Linked DNA regions of Canis lupus familiaris. The protein of the gene in region 1 interacts with the protein of each later gene in a pairwise test. Links are inferred from orthologs where the notes say so. Each region holds a gene or a part of one and is shown in the gene's direction. Other genes may lie near its edges.

What was found.
Region 2: the proteins of ABTB1 (region 1) and EEF1A2 interact in binary tests that used the Homo sapiens proteins (3 or more experiments, as listed by UniProt). The two-hybrid records come from large-scale screens. The link is inferred for Canis lupus familiaris from reciprocal best matches to the Homo sapiens genes ABTB1 and EEF1A2.

The regions. Positions count from the first base shown.
Region 1 is NC_049241.1:1,785,755-1,795,674, forward strand, and holds the end of ABTB1 (ankyrin repeat and BTB/POZ domain-containing protein 1), read left to right. Parts: intron 1-63; coding exon 64-208; intron 209-314; coding exon 315-474; intron 475-566; coding exon 567-612; intron 613-954; coding exon 955-1,071; intron 1,072-1,151; coding exon 1,152-1,270; intron 1,271-1,520; coding exon 1,521-1,619; intron 1,620-1,711; coding exon 1,712-1,894; intron 1,895-3,928; coding exon 3,929-4,129; intron 4,130-4,207; coding exon 4,208-4,414; 3' UTR 4,415-4,803; downstream 4,804-9,920. UniProt on the Homo sapiens protein: May act as a mediator of the PTEN growth-suppressive signaling pathway. May play a role in developmental processes.
Region 2 is NC_049245.1:47,947,395-47,958,843, reverse strand, and holds the start of EEF1A2 (elongation factor 1-alpha 2), read left to right. Parts: upstream 1-5,119; 5' UTR 5,120-5,342; intron 5,343-5,517; exon of another isoform or gene 5,518-5,542; intron 5,543-6,581; 5' UTR 6,582-6,645; coding exon 6,646-6,789; intron 6,790-8,414; coding exon 8,415-8,594; intron 8,595-8,939; coding exon 8,940-9,236; intron 9,237-10,606; coding exon 10,607-10,757; intron 10,758-11,449. UniProt on the Homo sapiens protein: Translation elongation factor that catalyzes the GTP-dependent binding of aminoacyl-tRNA (aa-tRNA) to the A-site of ribosomes during the elongation phase of protein synthesis.

The DNA.
Region 1 (9,920 bases):
CCTGTCCCTGCCGCAGTGTACATGTTCCCGAGCCTGCTGACTGGCGAGCCCTGCTGCCCCCAGGAGCCCGCTGTGAAGCCAACACCTTTGATGGGGAGCGCTGCCTCTACGGGGCACTGAGCGACCCCATCCGCCGGGCCCTGCGCGATTACAAGCAGGTGACAGCCTCCTGCAGGAGGCGGGACTACTACGATGACTTCCTGCAGCGGTGAGATGGGGTGCAGGGCTGGGTGTGCATGGGGTAGGGCTGAGGACCCTCCTGCAGGGTTGGGGGAAGGGCCTGCTGAACACCTGCTCCGCTTGCTCCTCCCCAGGCTCCTGGAGCAGGGCATCCATAGTGACGTGGTCTTTGTGGTGCACGGGAAGCCCTTCCGGGCACATCGCTGTGTGCTGGGTGCACGCAGTGCCTACTTTGCCAACATGCTGGACACCAAATGGAAGGGCAAGAATGTCGTGGTCCTTAGGCATCCACTGGTGTGTCCCTCCCAGGGGCAGGTGGAGGGACAGCAGGGAGCTTATGCTGGGTGGCCGCCTCTGACCTTCCCTCCTGGTCTCCCTGCCTGCAGATCAACCCCGTGGCCTTTGGGGCCCTGCTGCAGTACCTGTACACAGGTGAATCTCTGAGCCTGCGGGACACTGGCAGGGAGGGGGTTTCTGTCCAGCAGAAACGGGGGCCTTGGGCCCCCCTTGTACCTCCTGGAACTTGTGCCCTGCAGCGTGGGGCTGTTCTAGCTGCCTCCTGGGTGGGCTGGGAAACAGCAAGCTGGAGGGTCTACTCAGGAGGAGCTTGTCCCACCTACACACCAAGTCCCCTTCCATCTGTCCTGGGGCCTATGGAAGTCAGGCAGTGGCTCTTGAGGGGGCAAACCAAGGCAGGAAGGAGATCTGGGAGCCTTGGTGCTGGGGACCACAGAGAGCTCCTCTCGGGCCCTGAGCTTCCTGTGTCTCCCCTAGGCCGCCTGGACGTCGGCGTGGAGCATGTTAGTGACTGTGAGCGCCTGGCCAAGCAGTGCCAACTGTGGGACCTGCTCAGCGACCTGGAGACCAAGTGTGAGAAAGTGTCTGAGTTCGGTGAGTCCAGGCTTGGGGTCAGGGTGTCGGGCAGGAACCAGCAGCCCCCGGGCCCTGCAGCTGTATTGTCCCCTCCACAGTGGCTTCCAAGCCAGGCACGTGTGTGAAGGTGCTGACCATCGAGCCCCCGCCGGCAGATCCCCGGCTTCGGGAGGACATGGCCCTGCTGGCCGACTGCGCCCTGCCCCCGGAGCTCCGTGTAAGCACAAGGAGGGTGGGGCCCCATGTGGACGTGGCCATGGTAGACAAGCCCCGCGCCTGGCTCCATCCTTGGGCTGGAGCCAGTCCCTTTCTCTGAGCCCACTTTACTTGGGTCGTTGTCACACTTCAATTTGCAAATGGGGCTGCAGGCCATCCCTCCAGATCGAGCTAGACTAGACCTGTGGCTAGGACTGGCTGCTCTCCTGTGTCCCACCTGCTCCAATGGTGTCTCTTCCTTCATCTCCCAGGGTGATCTCGGGGAGCTGCCCTTCCCTTGCCCCGACGGCTTCAACAGCTGTCCTGATGTCTGCTTCCGGGTGGAAGGTTGCAGCTTTCTCTGCCACAAGGTGCCGTCCCTTACCGCCCCCCCATCCCCGCCCCCTTGCCTTATGTCCCCGGCCAGCTCTGGGGACAGGCACTGGCCCCCACCCTTCCTTAGCCCAGCCTCCCCCAGGCCTTCTTCTGCGGCCGCAGCGACTACTTCCGGGCCCTGCTGGACGACCACTTCCGAGAGAACGAGGAGCTGGAGGCCTCAGGCGGCCTCCTGGCCATCACTCTCCATGGCATCTCGCCTGACATCTTCACCCACGTGCTCTACTACATCTATAGTGACCACACAGAGGTGCGGAGCTCGAGCAGGCTGTGTGCGCTGGGCTAGGGGGTGTGACCATCGGGACAGGTGTGCAGCCGGGTCGCTCCGGGGCTTCAAGGGAGTGCCTGTGTCCTGCTCTGCTCTGTGGGGCTGGTCTGCTCTGCTCTGAGGTTGGAGAGGAAGCATGGGACGCGTTTGGGTTTTTCTTTCAGGCAGAGGGGACCTTGGTTGGTTCCAGAACAGGAATGAGTGGCAAGAGCCACATCATGAGCACATGACACTTGGGATTTAATATGAGCTACCTGGGGTCCCCAGGTCCTCGGTTGGAGGGTGGGTAGGGAGAGTAACCCTGAATTACCACAACAGTGGGGAGCGCCGCGCCTCCTGCCTCTGGATTGCTGTCCATTTCCAGGGTTCTGGATTTCTGTCTCCTGTGCTTTTGCTTCCCTGGGTCTTCAACTGGCCCAGAGCATCCTCAGAGCATGGGTGACATGGGCAGCAGTAACTGCTGCCGAAGGTGTGCTGTGTGTGTGTGTGTGTGTGTAAAAGGCCCCATGATAAAGAGACCCCCCCCAAATACAATCACATAAAGGAGAGAGATGTTTGCTCTCCTTCACGTCTGAAGTGAGTGCGCCAGGACAGGTGACCTGCGGGGACCCAGGTTATCCCCTCCATCTTGTCACCCTGACATGGCCTGGGGGCAGTCAGCAAGCCTTCTCTGAGGACTAGGTGTCAACATCGTGCAGAAATGAGTGGGTATGGCTGTGTCCCACTCTGTATTCATTACGAAACACAGAGTGGGCTGGACCTGGTCCACAGCACCTGAGGAGGTGTCCTGTGCATCTGGATATTGGATATTGGGGTGCAGGCTGACTCACAGCTTAGGAGGAAGAATAAAATGAAACACACTGTTTCCTTTGTCATAGGCCAGGTGGAGGCCACACCCACCGTTCTCCTGTGGCCCAGGAGAGAACTCACTTAGTGGCCGTACTTGCCAAGCAGGCAGGTGGGGCTGTGTGGCCTCTGTCAGGAGTGGGGCCTGGGGGACAAGCTGGGCTGTGATGTCAGCCTGTGTTCACCTCACATGGTCCCCATTTGTAAGCCTAGCAGCCTCTCTACGTGGGCACCCTTCCCGGCCTCCATTCCTCCTGCAGCATAGCTCAGCTCTGGCCCCTGCCACCCGGGGTCCATGTTCCCCCGCTCCCTGCCACACTCCTGCGGGAGCTTTGCCATTGAGGACAGTATGTAATGGCTGTAAGTGTGGACTTGGGCTCCTAACCTGGTTTGACGCTGGGTTAGCTGCTCACAAGCTGTGTGACCCTAGGCTGGTTCCTCAGTGGCTCTGTGCCTTAGTCTTCCCCTTCTAGAAAGTGGGGATGGTGATAGTTGTGGTCTTTTAAGGTCTTGTGCAGATGGATGTGTGTCACAGGTGGAGCCCAGCCTGAGTAAGCAGTGCGTGTGGCTTGGATGTGCTCGAAGAGGTCCTGCCTGCCCTGTCTCCAGCCTCTCCCTCTGCCCGTCCAAAGTCTGGATGGGAGCCGAGCCTGAACCTGTGGTCTCTCCGAGCACAGGGTCCAGGTGTAGGTGGAAGGGAGCCGGTAAAGAGTTACTCTGCTGCCTTGGGGGGGGGGGGGTTCCTGCCTCAGTTTGGAAAAGCATCTTCTGTTTTCTGACAACAGAGGCAGGCATGGTTGTACTGCCCAGAGAGGAAACTGAGGCACACAGAAGTGAAGTGACTTGCCTGGGTCCCACAGCTAGGATTTCAGAGTGTGGGTCTGTGTGCTTCACAGCTCAGCTTCTCTCTCCTGGTTAAGGGCCTAAGGTGTGGGAACCCGTCTCTGCCAAGCTCTCTGGTCCCACGGATGCCTGCAGCAATCTGGCTGGGCTAGGGGGTGTGACCATCGGGACAGGTGAGGCCTGTCACCCTGAGGCCTGAGAGGGAGCTCCTGCCCTACCTGCAGCCTCCACCATCTCCCTAATAGCTCCCAGCCTTGCTGCTAGGGCCCCGAGTGGTCCCCGGTGACCTTGCGGCTCATCCTCCCCTAACCCCTTCGTTCACTGCAGCTGCCCCCCGAGGCGGCCTACGATGTGCTGAGCGTGGCCGACATGTACCTGTTGCCTGGCCTGAAGCGGCTCTGTGGCCGCAGCCTGGCCCAGCTGCTGGATGAGGACAACGTGGTGGGGGTGTGGCGCGTGGCCAAGCTGTTCCGTTTGGCGCGCCTCGAGGACCAGTGCACTGAGTACATGGCCAAGGTCATCGAGAAGGTGGGCCTGGGGCAGCCGTGGTGGGTGGGGCAGGCTGAGGGCAGCCGGCCGGCGTGCTCTGAGCTGGCCTGTCCACAGCTGGTGGAGCGGGAGGACTTCGTGGAGGCCGTGCGGGAGGAGGCGGCGGCCGTGGCTGCCCGGCAGGAGACGGACTCCATCCCGCTGGTGGACGACATCCGCTTCCATGTGGCCAGCACGGTGCAGACCTACAGTGCCATCGAGGAGGCGCAGCAGCGGCTACGAGCACTTGAGGACCTGCTGGTGTCTATTGGCCTGGACTGCTGACTGTCGGCGTGTGGCACGGGCGGGCAGCTGTGTGTGTGCTTGCACGCATGTTCCTTGCTCCCTGGAGGAGGGTGTCCTGGTGGGCTGAGGGGGCTCTGTGGGGTGCCCCTCCCCCAGCGTGCCTGGGGCCCCAGGAGAGGGTCAGGATGAGCCCCCTCCCAACACAAACCAGCCCCCCGAGGCCCTGGGGCTGAGCACCACTCAGGGACACCTGGGGTGGGGGTCTCTTAGGACCTCCCTTCCCCGAGCCCCTCCACACCCCCGTTCTCCTGGCCCTGGCTTGTTTGCTTCCAAGCCAAGCCCAGCAAGCAGGCTTCTCCCAGGCACAGAGCTGGCCCATGGGGAGCAGAAGAGTCTTTGTGTGGCAATAAAGCTTGAATTCACTGTGAGAGCCTGAGCCTGTGTCTGGGGCGGGGTGCAGGTGCAGGGGGCCAGGGAAGAGCTCTAGATTCGGAGCCCCTTATCCATCGGTGCCCAGCAGGGGCTCCTCGGGGGCTGGGTGTGGTGGGGGTTCTGAGTAGGGGCCTTGAGACTCCCCAGCTGGGCCCAGCCTCTCCAGCCGTGGGACTCTCCCCCTTCCCCTCCAGCACAGCTTTTGCCATGTGAAGTCCGACACACCCACCTGCCCTCAGTGGTCCTGGGGGAGGTTCAGTGGGAGGCTGACCCAACCACCATAGAGGCCGTTCCTCCTCAGACCGGGCAAGGACTGGCTTCTGAGCCAGACATATTTCTAGCACTCATTTATGAGCACCCCCTGCACACCAGAGGCCGTTCATCTAGCGGTGGAGCCTCCCCACCAGCACCTGCGTTTTATGGCTGCGAAGACCCAGGCTGGGCTGTTGGCAGGGCCAGGGGGAGAGGCCCTGGTCAGCCCTGTGGCAGCAGCTTGCTCTGCAGCTCCAGGGGGAGGGCCAGGGAGGAGTGAGTGGGAGTGGAGGGTAGGAGGGGGCCCAGTGAGCCCAGCTGGCCCTAGCCTGGCTCCCTCCACTCCTCAGCCCACTGGCGGCTGGCCATGGAGAGTCTCGTGCCAGGAGCAGCTGAGGACTGACCTCTTGTCTTCTCTCAGCCCCCGGCCAGCCTCCTTCCTGGGGAGGCCTCCTGGCCTCTGCCACGGGAGCTATGACATTATCAGGAATGTTAGGTGGCCATCTCCGGATGCCCTATAGGCTGTCCCCCGACCTGAGGCCCAGGCAGCAAGCGTCTGAGGCCTGTCCCATTCTGCCCTAGGAACAGCACTGGGTGTCCTGCCGTCTGTGCCTTACATGTTCATCAGTTCTAGAGTTTCTGGGATCTCCTTTTCCCCTCTGCATGTCCTCCATGTTGGTCTGGCAAGTGGCTCCCATGGGGGAAGCAGTAAGGTGGGATGGGTGAACAAAGTAGCAGCAGGCAGGGAGGTGATTGGCATGGGGGTGGGGGAAGGGGACGTGGACGGCAGGGCCTGCTGGGTGGAGGGCAGGGTCTGGGCATGGGCCTGGGAGCCTGAAGAGCCTCGGAACGAGACCCAGGGAGGTCATCATGGCCAGAGCCCAAGCCACCCCGGGACCAGAGTTCCTACCCCAGCTCTGCCTTTTCCTCCCTGGTCACAGCTCCATGCCTTGGTTTACCCAGCTATAAATTGGGGTGACTCTGATAGTGCCTCCCTTTTGGCTTGGGGCATTAAAAGTGAGCTCCGGCTACTTGTGAAGGGCCCTGCACTGGCCTGGGTGGGGGCAGGGGGCGCAGTAAGCTGGTATTTGTGAAATGCTGGGCTCCACCCAAGGTGTGGAGGGAGGGGCAAGGAAGGTGAGGAAGGTGAGGAGGGCGAGGCAGGGGCTGACTTGCAACTTTGCAAGGTCACTGCTTGCCTTGGGCACCCAGACTTCCTGGGTGGGGCCAGGCTGGTGGCCTAAGAGCCACACACACTAACTCCACGGGAGGCAAGGTATATATAGTAAGAGGTTTAAACATTAAAAAAGGGTTTTTAAAAAAATTATGATGCTTTTTCTTTTTTTAAGATAGATACTGGGGACAACAGTGAACTCTATAGAAACCCATCTCTCTCTTTTTTTTTTTACAGCTGTTATTTGAAATCGTGCTTGTTTTAGAATAGATTGTAAGTAAAAACCTAAGTGAGGCGGTTTAAGAGCGAGTCCTCTGGAAGTGGTACCTTAGCAGGTCACCGAGAGAGTGGCAGTGAGGTGCACCTGCTAGGGAGGCAGTGGATCTGGAGAGTCACCACCCCCAGGACCGTGGTCCCCTCAGCCCCACGGCTGCAGGGGCATTCGCCAACTACACCACACCTTCCTCATTTTTTCAGCTACATGTGGCCTAAGGTGGGGAAAGGCCTTCTGTCTGAAGGTGTTCAGGGCGGTGTTGCAAACAGGAAACAACAGGAAGGGCACCCGTGAGCCCAGTGGGGAAGGAAATGATGGTAAGCTTCCTGTGGTCGGGGGGCTGCTCAGGCAGCCTCAGTACATGCAGGGGGAAGCTGGGGGCTGTTCAGCCTGCCTTGAGGTGCCCCCCGCAAGCCCGGGCTTAGAAACACGGCATGCTTCCAGAGCAAGAGTTGAGGGTTTCATCTGATTTCTGTGTCGTTTTCATAGTGTGGCTGTATTGCATTTAGAATCAAAAAGGACATCTGTCCTCAAGTAACAACTTTAATTCATTCCTGCTGAATGGAAAAATAGGTCCATGAATTCTATTGAGAAACACATGCATTCTATCCCAGCTCAAGTTATTTGCACATTTTTCACAGACAAAATAAGCACCACATGGCTTTGTACTAAGAGGTAAGGAAGGGACGGCTTGTCAAGGCCCCAGGGAGAGAGGGAGCCATGGCGGTAGGGGCAGGGGCCGGGTCAGTTAGGTGCTGTGTACAGAGTTGTGCTGGAGCTGGGAGAAACATCAGGATCCCTGAGCCTGTCTTTATTTAAAAGGCTGCTATTTGGTTCATCATGCTTTTTTTTTTTTTTTCCATTACTTTTAATTTAAATCACATAAAAGTATGGTCTTGTTCATTAAGATTCCTGGTGCCCCATTTACATTGTGTCCAAGACAAGTGCCTTACTTGCTTCCCCCTGGTCCTGGTCCTGACCCAAACAGTCATTACACAAGGCAGGTCTGTAATAAAAATAGAAAATACTTTTTCACCCATCCTATAAAATCTTCCCCACTTGCAAAAAATAAAAATTAAAAGAGAGTGAAAGCTTTGCATATGTTCTTTCGTTCACCTAGAGAACCGCATACGCCTTAATGTCCCATTCATGGCAGTGGATCGAGGAGCCCCGCTGGGGACCAGGCTGCCATTGGGCACTGGCATCATACGGGCAGGTGTGCTCTTGCCAGGCCTAGGGGCAGCCTTAATCCCTGAGTGAACATTTTGAAGGCATAACGATTTCTGACTTGGGCAAAGTCTGAAGGGCAGGCCTCAGAAGAAAGGACTTCTGGGGCCCTCAGGCTTCTGGGAGCTTCTACCTTGGAGCCGGGAAGCCACCCTCAGGCAACAGCAGGCCCTACTGGTGGTTTAAGATCTGAGCATTGCATTGGCGCTCTGTCCCTGGGGCTGTGTCGCCCACCTTCCTTCTCTGGGAGGGAGTGGGGTCTCCTGCAGCACAGTCTCAGACACTGGGCTGGAGCTCACACTCTGCACTGGCTTTGAGCCAATCACTCCATCCCTCAGAGCCTGTTTCCTGAGCAGTCTGAACGAGCAATACTACCAACCACCCAAAAGCTCAAGTAGAAATTCCATGGGGGCGCCCACGAGGAAGCCTCCACTAGGAGAGGCAGCTCAACTAGGGTCAGCTTCAGAGTGAATTTTCATTCTTCCCTGGAGGATCTAAGAGGAACAGTGTGGGGCATACTCTGTAAGCTTTTCTGATCTGCAGCATTTTGGAGATATGCATGTGTTCCTCATGTTCCCTCTGGATCCCTTGGGCCTCAAGGGTCACCAGACCTTGTTGATGTTACCTCTTCAGTAGCCACCAATCAGGGCTCTGGCTCACCTCCAGCTCATTCTCACCCCCTGTTGGCATCTCCCAGGCAGATACTGACCCTGGCACTCCCATCCTTGAAAGGCTCCAGCACATGCACTTGGTCCTCAGATACCCTCCTACCCTGAGCCTGTCCTGTTTTGTGGGCACCTGGCCCGCCTCACAGCCTCCCATGCATTTAGCTGTGGCCATGCCATCCGGTTCTAGATGTGATCTGACACACTAAGGGCAGTCTCTGGTTTATTCCTTGAAAGATAGGTGCCTGCCCCTTTCCTTTCTTCCCCTCCTGTAGGCTGGAAGGAGGGCACAGTGGCAGGAGCTGGAGCAGCCTTTTTTGGGCCATGTCCTTGAGACTTCCCCTACAGTGAGAGGAGAGGGAAGGAGGGAGGAGAAAGAGGCCAGGCTACCCCTTCCTGCTAGCTTCCATTTTGGTCATGGCTGTGTCCTCTACCTGAGGTCACAACCTGACAAGTGGGCCCCCTCCTGCAGGGGCAGCACTCTGTGTTGTACCGACAGCCCCTCCAGTCAAGGCTGTGGGCTCTTTGTGGCTGGTCCTGACACTACACCCACCCAGTGGACCCCTGCACTACACTATCTTCAGTTGAGTGCTGCTATTGATGCCAACCTGAGGTCCTTCCACCCTCAAGTCCTGCCCTGAGCCCTCTTGCCTTGCAGGATCTGTGCACCCCACTCCTGCTCATCTTTCCGCTCTCCCAGAGGGGTGCTTCTGGGCTGGTCACTATGCTTTCATCGCTCCTCCCTCTGCCCCACAACTGTTAGGCACTGGAGTGGCAGGTTTGTGTCCCTCTGCCCTCATTTTGGAGGGCAGTCCCAGGGACTGCATCCTGCCCAGTGTAGCAAGCCTTCCGTCCCTCAGCCCCTCCCTCCCTCATTGGACAAGTTTGGAGACCACGGGCCTAATGTAAGCACACACCCTCCTGCAGCTCAGTTCTGGTGGAGGGACAGAGCTACTGAACAGTCAAGCAGAAGTCAGATCATGTCAGATGGTAATAATGTGCCAGGGATATGGAAGGTGGGGAAGGAGCCAGGGTGCCTGTGCTGGTTCTTGACTGGGCGGTTAGGAAAGGCCTCTGAGGTGTCCAGCAGGGAGGCTGGCGAGTGGGGGCCAGTGGACACAGCAGGAGGAAGATGAAGGCAGGGAGGCCACTGGCTAGGCGGGTTGTGAGTGAGAAGGGCTACCTCTGACTCACTTAACACCCCCTCCTGGGGCTGTGTGGGCAGGGCTGCCAGGGCACCCCCTGAGGAGGGTGCTGTCGCCATCTGGTGGGAGGGAAGGCAACAGCAGTGGGGCCAGAGGGAAGCGTCATGTAGCCCTACCCTGGAGGCGGGGCTGACTGTGGGACACAGGAGGGGAAGAGGATGTGCAGAGCCCTGGCTCAGCAGCAGGAGAGCTGAGATGGGCAGAGGATGGAGCCGCCTGGGCTGGGCATTAGCCCGGGAGTCTAGGGCTGGGGGACTAGGGTGGCCAAGTCCGTGGGAACGGAGGAGGGAAAATAAGGTCCCCGGGGAACCATGGC
Region 2 (11,449 bases), on another chromosome or scaffold:
GGTCGTCTTCTAAGGTCACGGGGCTGTAGGACTGAGGCCCCCTTTGTCTGATGCACAGCTGGAGGCCCGCTCTGCGTGGAGGAGCTGCCCACGGTCTCCTGCCATCGGCCCTCACCGGCCTTCTCACCTCCTGGGAGCTCACCTCTTCAAGGCTGGTAGGAGAATCCCTCGCTCAGGTCTGTCTGCCAAGACAGAGTCTTTTTTTTAATACTGTATTTATTTATTCATGAGAGAGAGAGAGAGAGAGAGAGAGAGAGAGGGGCAGAGACCCAGGCAGAGGGAGAAGCAGGCTCCATGCAGGGAGCCCGATGTGGGACTCGATCCGGGGACCCTGGGGTCATGCCCTGGGCTGAAGGCAAAGCTCAACCGCTGAGTCACCCAGGTGCCCCCAGACTTATTTTTTTTAACACAAAAGTCGCCCATCAAGTGCAGCTCTTGATCTCGGGGTCTTGAGTTCAAGCCCCATGTTGAGTGTAGAGAGGACTTAAATAAATAAACACTTTATTTATTTATTTTTATTTATTTTTTTAAGATTTTTATTTATTTATTCATGATAGTCACAGAGAGAGAGAGAGAGAGGCAGAGACACAGGCAGAGGGAGAAGCAGGCTCCATGCACCGGGGGCCCGATGTGGGATTCGATCCCGGGTCTCCAGGATCACGCCCTGGGCCAAAGGCAGGCGCCAAACCGCTGCGCCACCAGGGATCCCTAAATAAACACTTTAATACCAGAGGGGAAAGGCGACAACCCATGGTCATGTCTACTCTAGGACCATCTAAGAAGAGTTAGAGCCGAGCCCCGTGGAGAGCGGGGGACCAAGATTGAAAGTCGAATCTAACCAGCCCCGCGGCTCGGAAGACGCGCCGCCGGTTTTACCCGTAGACCGGCCGCGAGGAGCCCGCAGGCTTGCAGCCGAGATCAAATGGCTGCAAGACGAGAACCAGCAGGCCTCACGCGAGGACCACGGAACCCAGGGTTCCCAGAGCATTCAACTTCCAGCCCCAGATTACTAGATGTGCAAAGCAATAGGTAAATGTCCTCATCGCCAGAGGGAAAAGGCCGCGTAGCAGCTCATCTGCTCTCAGCTGTAAGTCCGTCCTCACCGCCTGCCCTACAGGATGGATCTGCTCACCCGAAGCGGAAGCGCTCAGCTCTGCCCATCGTCACAGAGCAGGTGCTGAAGTGTGACCTGAGAGCCGAGGGGCAGTCCGCGGGCAGAGTGGCACACGGAGCCCACAGGACGCGCGGGCGGCTTGGCGGTCGTTCCAATTCGGAAACGGACTGTCGCGGGGCAGTGAGGAGGACCAACCAGCAAACACAACAGCTCGGACGCATGACAACAGGTGGCGGTGGCAGGAGCCACACAGAAGACCACGCAGGGCAAGTTTGCCAGCAGACAGTGCGATCTGGGGTCTGCAGTCGGGACCGCGGTGACCTTGGAGGGCAGGAGGGGGTGTTCTCTTTCTTGGGGCGGGTCAGGGACATGGGGACCCTTGCACTCCTAAGTATTTTCAAGGGCAGCGCCCGTCCCCGCCTCCTCCCCAGGAGAGGGCTGGCCTCCTCAGCCCGGCCGCCGTGCAGGGGGTCTTTCCTGGGCCCCCACCACCCATGGGGACAGTGACGCCACCGCAGCCTCCGCAGCAGTCAACCCGAGGCCCCCGGGGCCGCTGCTCTGGAGGCGGCGATTCCCCAGGTGAACACCTGGGCTCCGTTGCTAAGGAGCTTGGCTCCGCCAGGGCCTCCGAGCCGGAGCCGCTCCTCCCTGAGCCCGAGCCCTCTCCCTCCACCCGCGGGCGGGCAGTGGGCCGTCTCGCCCTCCCCCCTGTCCTCCCCCGGGGCTCTCCGGTGGCCCCCAGCCGCATGGACCTGCCGGGAGGGCGCCACAGACCTGGCCTCTCGGGTAGCTGGGGGGCCAAGCCCGCCACGCCCCTTCCCTGGAAGCAGGGGGATGCCGGGCAGGGGTGGAGCTCCAGTGTTGGCGGACCGCCCCCCGGCCCAGGTGACCGTCACCAGGCTCCTCCCGGCGGTGCGGCTCCGTCACCATGGCAACAGCCAGGGCGCAGGTACCGCAGCTCCTGGGCGGGCCCAGGCCGGTGCCCCTCCTCCCGGCCCCTACCCCCCAGGCACGCTGGCTTCCCCCGGCAGCCTGGACTGTCCAGGGTCACCAGTGCCCCGGGGCGAGCACAGGGCTGGCCGCTGGGGGGTCGGGGTGCCGGCCGCGCCCCTCCAGCCCCGCCCCCTGGGAGCACCAACTTCTCAGATCTGGGGCCTCGATCTTGCTTCTCTGGCGGAAGCTCCTGGCCGAGGAGGCCACTCGATTTCCGGCCCCAGGGGCTGCTCGGTTCCCCGGGGAGCTGGGAGCGGGAGCGAGTGTCCCCGAGGCCGTCCAGGGTCGTGCTGCCCAGGACGGCTGGACACTGGATGTCACTGGCCCCGCAGGGAGGCTGAGCACTGACGTCCTGTCACCCCAGGCCGCGAGCTGAGGTCATTCAGAGACGCCCCAAGGCGGCCGGGCGCCCGAGCCCTGCCCCCACCCTGCCCCCACGCCTGGGCAGCAGCTAGCAGGGTGACCGGTGGCCCTGGCCCCCACAGGGCAGCACATGCACAGGTGGTCAGTGTGCATTCGCGGTTATTATTAACCGGGCGGTGACATCACCGGCAGCCAATCGGAGCAGCGTTTATTTCCAGGCTGACAGCTTGATAACGGTTAATTTTAGCTGGATCTTCTTTCTCCAGGCTCATGAAGCCTCAGCCAGCCAAAGAGGGGGCTGCCTGCGTCTCCCCAGGCCGCTCATGGCTGGGGGCACCTGCGGCCAGAGGGGCCTGAGGGGGCGGACCTGCACCCCCTCCTGCCCGCCCCCCTGCACCAGGCTGGCCGGCCCCTTCCTGGCTCGCGCCCCCCACCCTACCCGTGGTTGCTATGGGGGCCATCGTGACAGGTGGCTCAGATTTGGGAGAAGGAGAAGGAGGGGAGGGGGAGGTGTGGCGAGCCCGCCCCGGGGAGGAGAGGAGTGCAGGTGGGACCCAGTTGGCGTCTGTCCTGATGTAACACGGGCCTGGCTCGGCTGCAGCCTGCACGCTCTGCCCTCCTTGCTGTGTGACCTTGGGCACTGTGGTCCGCGGTCCGCGCCCAGTGGGTGCTCGGTGGCCGGCGGCCCCGCCCAGCACTTGGTGAGCCGCGGGGCTTGGCGACCGGCTGGCTGCGTAGTATTTGGTATTCAGCAGACCTCCCCGGCCAGGAGTCACCGGGCGCAGGCGGCAGGCGGCAGGCGGCAGGCGTGTCATTATTCAGCGCCGTACCTTGTTTACGCACGGTCCAGTGAGCTTGCGGGTCTGCTGGCCGCCGTGGGGTCCAGGCTCCCCGGCAGGCAGCCCACCCCGGGCGGATGGGGCACAGCCTGGGGACACAGGCACTCGGGAGACCCACCGAGACCCCTTGGGGGGGCTGCGCGCAGCACCTTCGGGGAGGCTGCTGCATTCCACCAGCAGTGGCCGCCGCCCCGGGCAGCGTGGCCTCCTGGCACAGGCCAGCCCCGGTGTGATTTGGTCGCCACTAGGCTGACCGCAGTGGGTGAGCCAGGAGTGGAGGGGCGCAGCTCAGACCTGTTGGGGGGCCGGTCTGCAGGCAGCCCAGGGTCCTGGGTGCTGGTGGTCCCTCTGGGGCAGTTGGGGTGCACATCCCCAGGGACTGGGCCTCTGCAGTCATGGTTTGGCCCATCCCAGCTTCATCCAATCCCAGTGTCTTCCAAATCCCTGCTAACCTTCAGGCAGGAGGGACACGTCAAATATAGAGGGCAGCTGGGCGGGGGTGGGGTGGGTCTCCACTGCTTGCCAGTTTATTTTTAATCCTGGCTCCTGTTTGATGGTATCAGCAGCACTTGGAAGTGCCCCGAGTCATCTGAGGGCCCCTCCCTGCCCGGAAGGGTTAGGAGTGCGGCTGTGGCTGCAGATGTGGGTCCTGTGGGGCAGGGCCTGGTGGGAGGGCCTGTCCCCTCCCCAAGAGGCCCCCCATGGGCTGGGGAGACCAGCTTGGCCCCCAATCACTGCCCTGGGCCCCTTTACTTCCTGCTGTGCTGCGGGGGCTCTGTGAGGCATTGCCCCAGGGGAGGGTGCTAGGCACTGGGCCTCTGCTGTCACCCACTCACCTTGCTTGACCTTCTCCCAGACCTCGCAATTACAAAGATGAATAAGACAGGAGTGGGAGTGGTCTCGGATGGATGGAGCCACAGGGAGAGGTGCGGGGGGCCAAGAGGCCTGCGCCCCGGGCTTTCACACAGCACGGGCCTGCCTGGTTCCCTCCTTAGAACCCACGTTGGCCATTGCCCTGGGCTGCCCTGGACCCTCCAAGACCCCCCCCAACACACTTTCTACAGAACTGGCCCATCCGTGGCTTCGCACTCTGGTCACACGGGGGCCAGGAGTGAGGCCAGAGCCTGGACTCTGCCTGCCCGGGACCCCTCCCCGCTCGCGCGCACCAGGGCAGCCTGGAGGGTGTCGGTGGGCTCTGGGAACAGACTTGCGTGGACAGAGGCCCAGGGTGGACAGCAGGGGAGGGAGGTTGAGGTGGATCTCCCACAGAGCCTCGAGCCACTCGGCCGGCTGAGGGGACCCTGAAGACACCGTTCTCCGGCTGTGCCGTGGGGCCGGGCTGGGGGCATGCCAGGGTGACCCATGTGGCCGACGCACGGGGATGGGGGCCCTGAAAACAAGCAATTGCAGGGTCCCAAAGGAGGAAGGCCCCAGGGCTCCGGGGCCTCGCTGGGAGGCACAAGGGAGCTTCATTTGCTCACCAGGCACCAAGCGCATGGAGGGCGGGGGCGAGCCCCCCAGGCCCACGGCCCAGAGCCCGGGCCCAGCCCCACTCCTGGCGCAGGCCTGACCTGCTCCTACCACGTCCCCACCTCGGTTTCCTGTCCCCAAGGACCCCCTTTCAGGTTTCACTGCCTTTGGCCTGGCCGTCCCCACCCTTTCTGCGTCCAGGAGGGCCTGAGCCTGGCGCCGCTCGGCCTCCATCTCTTGCGCTGCTCTCCCCCGGCCCCCCTCGCTCGGCTCGGCCGGTCCCCGCCCCCCCGCGAGCCCCGACCCGCTTTCTCTCCCTGCCTGCACTCCCTCCGGGTCTGGCGCCGCGCCGGGCGCTCGCTGCCTTGCCGCATCCTGTCGCCCGCATCCCGCACCCCTCGGCTCCGGCCGCCCCGCCCGCCCCGCCCCCGCCGGTACCGCATTGCCGTACTGCAGGGGCGCAGTGCATTGCGCCCGCGCCGTCAATAGGTGGACCCCCTCCTGGAGAGATAAAACCGCCGGCGCCGCGCCGCCTGTCCCTCTGGCTGAGACCTCGGCTCCGGGTAAGGACGCTTGGCCTCGGGCTCCGCCTCCGCCCCCAGCGCTCCCGGGGCTTCCTCTGTCCCCGCGGCCGGGCCCAGGGAGGCTGCGGGCACCTGGCGACGCTGCGCTGCTTGCTCCGGCTTCGGCCAGCGGCTCCCCGCACCGGGCACCGGGCACAGGCACCGGGCACAGACACCGAGCACCAGGCACCGGGCACCGGGTCGGCCCCTCGGGCGGTCGGGGTGGGGTGGGGGCACCGCGGCGGCGCTTGTTTATGCGCTGGCGGCAGGACCGTCTTCTGGGTGGCGGCGAGCGCCCTGCCGCTGTGACCTTGGGACCGGCCGGGGCCCCGCGGGCTGGGGCAGGGTGGTCAGTGCTGGGAGCAGCTGGGGATCCCGAGGCCGGGGAGGCGGCGAGACCTGGGGGCAGTGGCACCGGCCCCACCCCGGCGGGCCCAGGAGCCCGGGCTGGGTGTCGGCTCCCCACGGTGCGCTGTGGGCACCTGCTTCCCCTGGCCCAGCCACCTGTCCCCTCGTGGGCTGCCCAGGTTTCTGCCCTGAGCTCCAGGACGGGGCAGGAGCTGTGACCCCGGGCCGAGACCAGAGGGAAAAGCAGAGGCGCCCCCTCCCCCAGCGGGCTGCCGGCATCTCCGTCCGGCGCTCGCAGAGCTTGGCTGCTGGGGCCACATTCCTCCCCGCTCTCAGGAGCAGGGACCCCACCTCCCTGCCCCCGGCCGCCCCGGCCCATCCGATCGGGAGCGCCCGAGCTGTGCAAGCCGCCCTGCGGGAGCTGGGGCCCAGCCTGTCCCCGGGGCCGCCGCAGGGGTGAGGGGATGCCAGAGGGGCAGGGGGGCACTGGCCACCTGCTGGCGGGGTGGGGGGCAGCGCAGGGCCCGGGACTCCTGGTGGGGCAGCAGGCGGCAGGGCCGAGCGCTGGAGAGCAGGGCAGGGTGACTCATCACCAGGCTCCTGACTGGTCATGGGGTTCGCCCAGCCTGGTGTCTCTCCATCTCTCCAGAGGGGGGCTAACCTGCTTCAGGGGGCCCTGTGGGCACGACACCCAGATATTTGGAGGACACTGGACCGTGGGGGCTTGCCGGCTGACCCAAACGGGCCAGGCCCAGGCTGAGGGGGGCTGAGGGGACTTCCTGCCCCAACAGATGTGGGAATGTCGCTCCTTCTGCAGGCAGGGGTGTGCTGGGCACTGTCTGTGGGTTCTCTCTGAAGCCCCCATCACCTGTCCCCCGCCCCACCCCACAGAATCCCAGAATCCCAGCCACAGCGCTCCAGGCCGTCCCAGCCCCTCCCCACCCCCCCGGGCAGCATGGGCAAGGAGAAGACCCACATCAACATTGTGGTCATTGGCCACGTGGACTCGGGCAAGTCCACCACCACGGGCCACCTCATCTACAAGTGCGGAGGCATCGACAAGAGGACCATTGAGAAGTTCGAGAAGGAAGCCGCTGAGGTGAGCCTGTCCCCTCCCCCGCCCACTAAGAGGTCGGCCCCACGTGGTGGCCGGGCTGGCGCTCAGTGACTCTGGGGCATGAGGCTCCGCTGACCTCCCCCAGGGCGAGGGGGCACGAGGGGGCACGAGCCCTAAAGGACCTGCCTGGGGGCCAGTACCTGAGGGATGGGGGCCCTGGGGGCAGCCTCCCAGGGGATGTGCTTGGAGTGGGGCAGGGCCGGCCGGCTGGAGGGGCCTCCGGGTCAGGGAGGTGCCCTGGGGGCAGCCTTTCTGGCTCTGGAAACCTCTGGCGAGTTGGGGTGGAGCACCCTGGAACCCGCGTGGGGTTCCTGTGTCTCCGGGGCTGAGGGGGTGATGCCCTCACTTGTCCCAGGGCTGGGCCAGGACTCAGGGCGGCTATTAATAGCTGATTGATGGGCACCCAGCCCATCAGCTCCATTTTCTCAGGCTGGGCTGGGGAGGGCTGCTCGTCCAGGGTGGAGCTCTTTTGGGGGGGTCCTGGTTGCCTCTTGTGCCTCGTGACAATGATGGGGGCCCCGTTGACTGACCTCCTTTCTCTTAAGTGGCCGAGCCGGTGGGTGGGAAGTGACCACGGAGTGGGTGTCTGCCCTTTGCAGCCTCTACCCCCACCCCTGGGCTCCGGGAGAGGCCCCGTCTGGGTGGCCGTGAGGGTGTTTCCTGGATGACAGGGGCTGGGGCCTGGGCCCAGGAGGCCTCAGTTGCCGGCCTGGGCTGACCCTGCTCAGAGTGAGTGTGTGGGTGTTGCGCTGGGCGGCCTCCCTCCGCGCCTGAGCCCAAAAGCTGCGTCACTCCCTCCTTCCATGCGGGGTTGGCGCTGGCGGAGGCTGTGGGGGTTTGCAGGATGCCTGGCTCAGGTCTCGCTGGGTCCCCTCTGGGCCCTGTCTGGGTGGCCCTCCTGGCTGGGCAGCCTCCCTGGAGGCCAGAGCCCTGTCCATGCACAGCCCTGCGGGGGTTTTGTCCTGCTGGGCAGCAGCCTCAGCTCTGGCCCAGGGTATGGGGGTCTCCGCCGGGCTGGGCACAGGTGTCTGCAGGTGGAGCCTTAGAGCTACTTGGAAGCCTTGGCTGTAGAAAGAGCTGGAAAGCCAGGCCCTTCCATGCAACCTCATCCAATTTCCTTTTTTTCCCTTAAAAAAAAAATCGTCATAGAGGGTTTTGTTTTGTGTTTTGGGCTTGACACCTTGACGGTGGCGTTGTGGGCCTCCGGTTCATGCAGGGATCTCCGGGGCTGGGGGTGGCCAGCGCGGAAAAAGGGGAGCCCTCAGCCAGGGGAGGGGTTTAAAGGCCTGGTGGCTTCTCTCCAAGCCTGGCTCCCAGGCCCTTGCGCCACCTCCTGGAGGACGTCCGAATGGCAACCATCTAGAGGGCAGGAGCCGGGGACACCGGGTGGCAGGGCCCGGGCAGGGCAGGGCTGAGGTCTGGGTGCCCCTCAGGGTCCTTGCTCCTGGCTCCCTCATTCTACAGACGATCAGAGCCCTAGGGCCCCGTGGGGAGTGAGGGAGCCTGGCACCCAGGCCTCTGCTGCGAATGCTCCCGTGGCCCAGGGGGACCCGTGGCCAGCGGGCTGAGTCCCGGGTCCCTCCTTAAGCCATGCCCCACCTGTGCAGATGGGGAAGGGCTCCTTCAAGTATGCCTGGGTGCTGGACAAACTGAAGGCGGAGCGGGAACGTGGCATCACCATCGACATCTCCCTCTGGAAGTTCGAGACCACCAAGTACTACATCACCATCATCGACGCCCCCGGCCACCGTGACTTCATCAAGAACATGATCACCGGCACATCCCAGGTGGGCGGGGCTGTGGGGGGCCAAGGGGACCCGAGGGGCCAGGGCCCTGGGGTCCTGGAGGGGTGGCTGGGCTCCCTCCGCTTCCTTGCCAGGGCAGGCACCCCCCACCCCACCTGCTACAGAGCCGCCCCCAGAGAATGATTAGGTGCCCGTCACCTCAGCCAGGCAGAGGGGCCGGGAGGGACTGTGGGTCAGGGCCGCCGTTGCAGACAGACACACGGACCCAGATAGACGGCCGTCCGCACGGATGGACAAGGCCCTGCTGCTGCCCCTGGTCGAGACCCCTGGGGCCCACCCCCGGGCGACCGCCTGGAGGGGCCCGGGCTCACGGCGACCTGCGGGCAGGCGGACTGCGCGGTGCTGATCGTGGCGGCGGGCGTGGGCGAGTTCGAGGCGGGCATCTCCAAGAACGGACAGACCCGCGAGCACGCGCTGCTGGCCTACACGCTGGGCGTGAAGCAGCTCATCGTGGGGGTCAACAAGATGGACTCCACGGAGCCGGCCTACAGCGAGAAGCGCTACGACGAGATAGTCAAGGAGGTCAGCGCCTACATCAAGAAGATCGGCTACAACCCGGCCACCGTGCCGTTCGTGCCCATCTCGGGCTGGCACGGGGACAACATGCTGGAGCCCTCGCCCAACGTGAGTGCCCGCGGGCGGGCGGGCGGGTGGGCGCGGGGCTGCGGGGACCCCTCCCTGAGAGCCGGGCCCGGGCGCGGACCAGGCGCGGGCAGGACCCGGGCTCCCCCGGGCATCCACGCCCCGCCCTGCTGCGCTCGCTTCCGCGTGGGGCTCGTGCTCGGGGCGCGGGCCTCGTGGCCCCGCGAGGCCGGCACAGGCCCCTTCCCTGGCCAGGGGTGCCCCCTCCGGCGGGGAGCGCGGGAGCAGTGCCGCCGGGTCCGAGGCCCGGTGCTCGGTGCCTGGGGGCTCTGCCCGGCCCGTCCTCACCTTGCCAGGAGCCTCTGCGGGCGCGGGCAGGTTAGGCTCTGGGAGGGGCCGAGGGCTCGCTCTCCACCGGCCGGGTGGGAAGCCTGTGGCTCGGGCAGCCTGCGGCGCGGGGACTGGGGAGGTGAGGAATTCTCAGAGCCTGAGGCCAGGTGCCTGGACAGTGGGGCCAGAGGACGCGCCTGGCCCAGGAGGGCGGCCGTCTGCTCTGGCCAGTGCTGCGGGCGGGGAGGGGCCCTTGAAGAGCCAGGGGGACTGTCCTGGAGCCCTGTGGTCAGGGGACGAGGCTGGGGACCCTGCCCCCGGCTCGCTGGGCTGCGGGTTTGCCTGGTGAGGGTCCCACACGGCTGTCGTGTGGCGATGGGTGAGTGGACTGCACTCCCCACCCTCCCGGGAGGCGGACAGGGCGCCCTACCCTAGAGTGTCCCGTTCCTGACCTGCTGCTCGGGGAGCTGGCTGCTGATCTGTGCCCCCCACAGGACCCAGTCCCACCGGGCGGGCTGGGCGGTGCTGCCGGCCCCTCGCCTCTGCCTGCCCGTGGCCAGCGGGCCGGGGGGCTCCATGCCAGGAGGGTGCTGGGTCTGCTGCCGGGAAGCCCTGGGCAGGGAAGGGCCAGCCGGGCCCGGAGACGGTTGGCACAGTGGCTGGGGGCCGCGTGGACTCTCTGCCTCTGGCCTGGCCGCTGGCCAGCCTCCAGCCCTTCCCGCGCCGGTGCCAGCCCTGCCCGGGGGGTCCGAGGGCTGCAGGAAAGGGGGACTAAGCGGGACTGGGCTCCACATCTTTTCCCCGACCTCTTCCAAGGCTTCCGTGATGTTGGGAGTGTGAACTGGGGGGTGAGGAGGGTGCGGGGACCAGCCGTGCAGCATCGTGATGGACGTGGGTAAAGAGCTGAACATTGGGCAGTGGAGAGGGCGGGTCTGTGCTCCCCTGCTCCCCAGGCCCCCCTCAGGTCAGGTACCTCCACCGGGATTCCTGGAGGGTCCCGGGAGGCCGTGGGGCTATGGTGTAGGGCAGCGAGGGTGCAGGAGGTCTCTCCCTCCAATGGATACCTTCTTCTTCCCATCCAGATGCCGTGGTTCAAGGGCTGGAAAGTGGAGCGTAAGGAGGGGAACGCCAGTGGCGTGTCCCTGCTGGAGGCCCTGGACACAATCCTGCCCCCTACACGCCCCACAGATAAGCCCCTGCGTCTGCCACTGCAGGACGTGTACAAGATTGGTGGTGAGTGAGGGTTCAGTGTTGGACACCTGCTGCTCCACTGGGGGCACCCGGCCCGCCCACCCCGCTCCTGAGCCCAGGGCCCCTGACAGGAGCTTCTGAGGCCAAGTTATCTGCCTCTTCCCCAGTGCTGTACACTCTGGGGACCATCCATCCATCCGTCCATCTCCCATCCATGCTCCATCCCTTCATCCAACCATCCACATATGCATGTACCCCCATCCATCCCTCCATCCTTTCATCCATTCCTCCATCCCTCCATCCCTCCCTCCATCCATCCCCCCATCCCTCCCTCCCTCCACTCCCTCCCTCCATCCATCCATCCATCCCCCATCCATCCCTCCCTCCGTCCATCCTTCCCTCATCCTTCCATCCATCCATCCATCCATCCATCCATTCCTCCATCCATCCATCCATCCATCCCCCATCCATCCATCCCTCCCTCCCTCCCTCCCTCTATCCTTCCATCCATCCATCCATCCATCCCTCCATCCATCCCCCATCCATCCATCCTTCCCTCCATCCTTCCATCCATCCATCCATCCATCCATCCATCCATTCCTCCATCCATCCATCCATCCATCCCCCATCCATCCATCCCCATCCATCCATCCCCCATCCATCCATCCCTCCCTCCCTCCCTCCCTCTATCCTTCCATCCATCCATCCATCCATCCCCCATCCATCCATCCCTC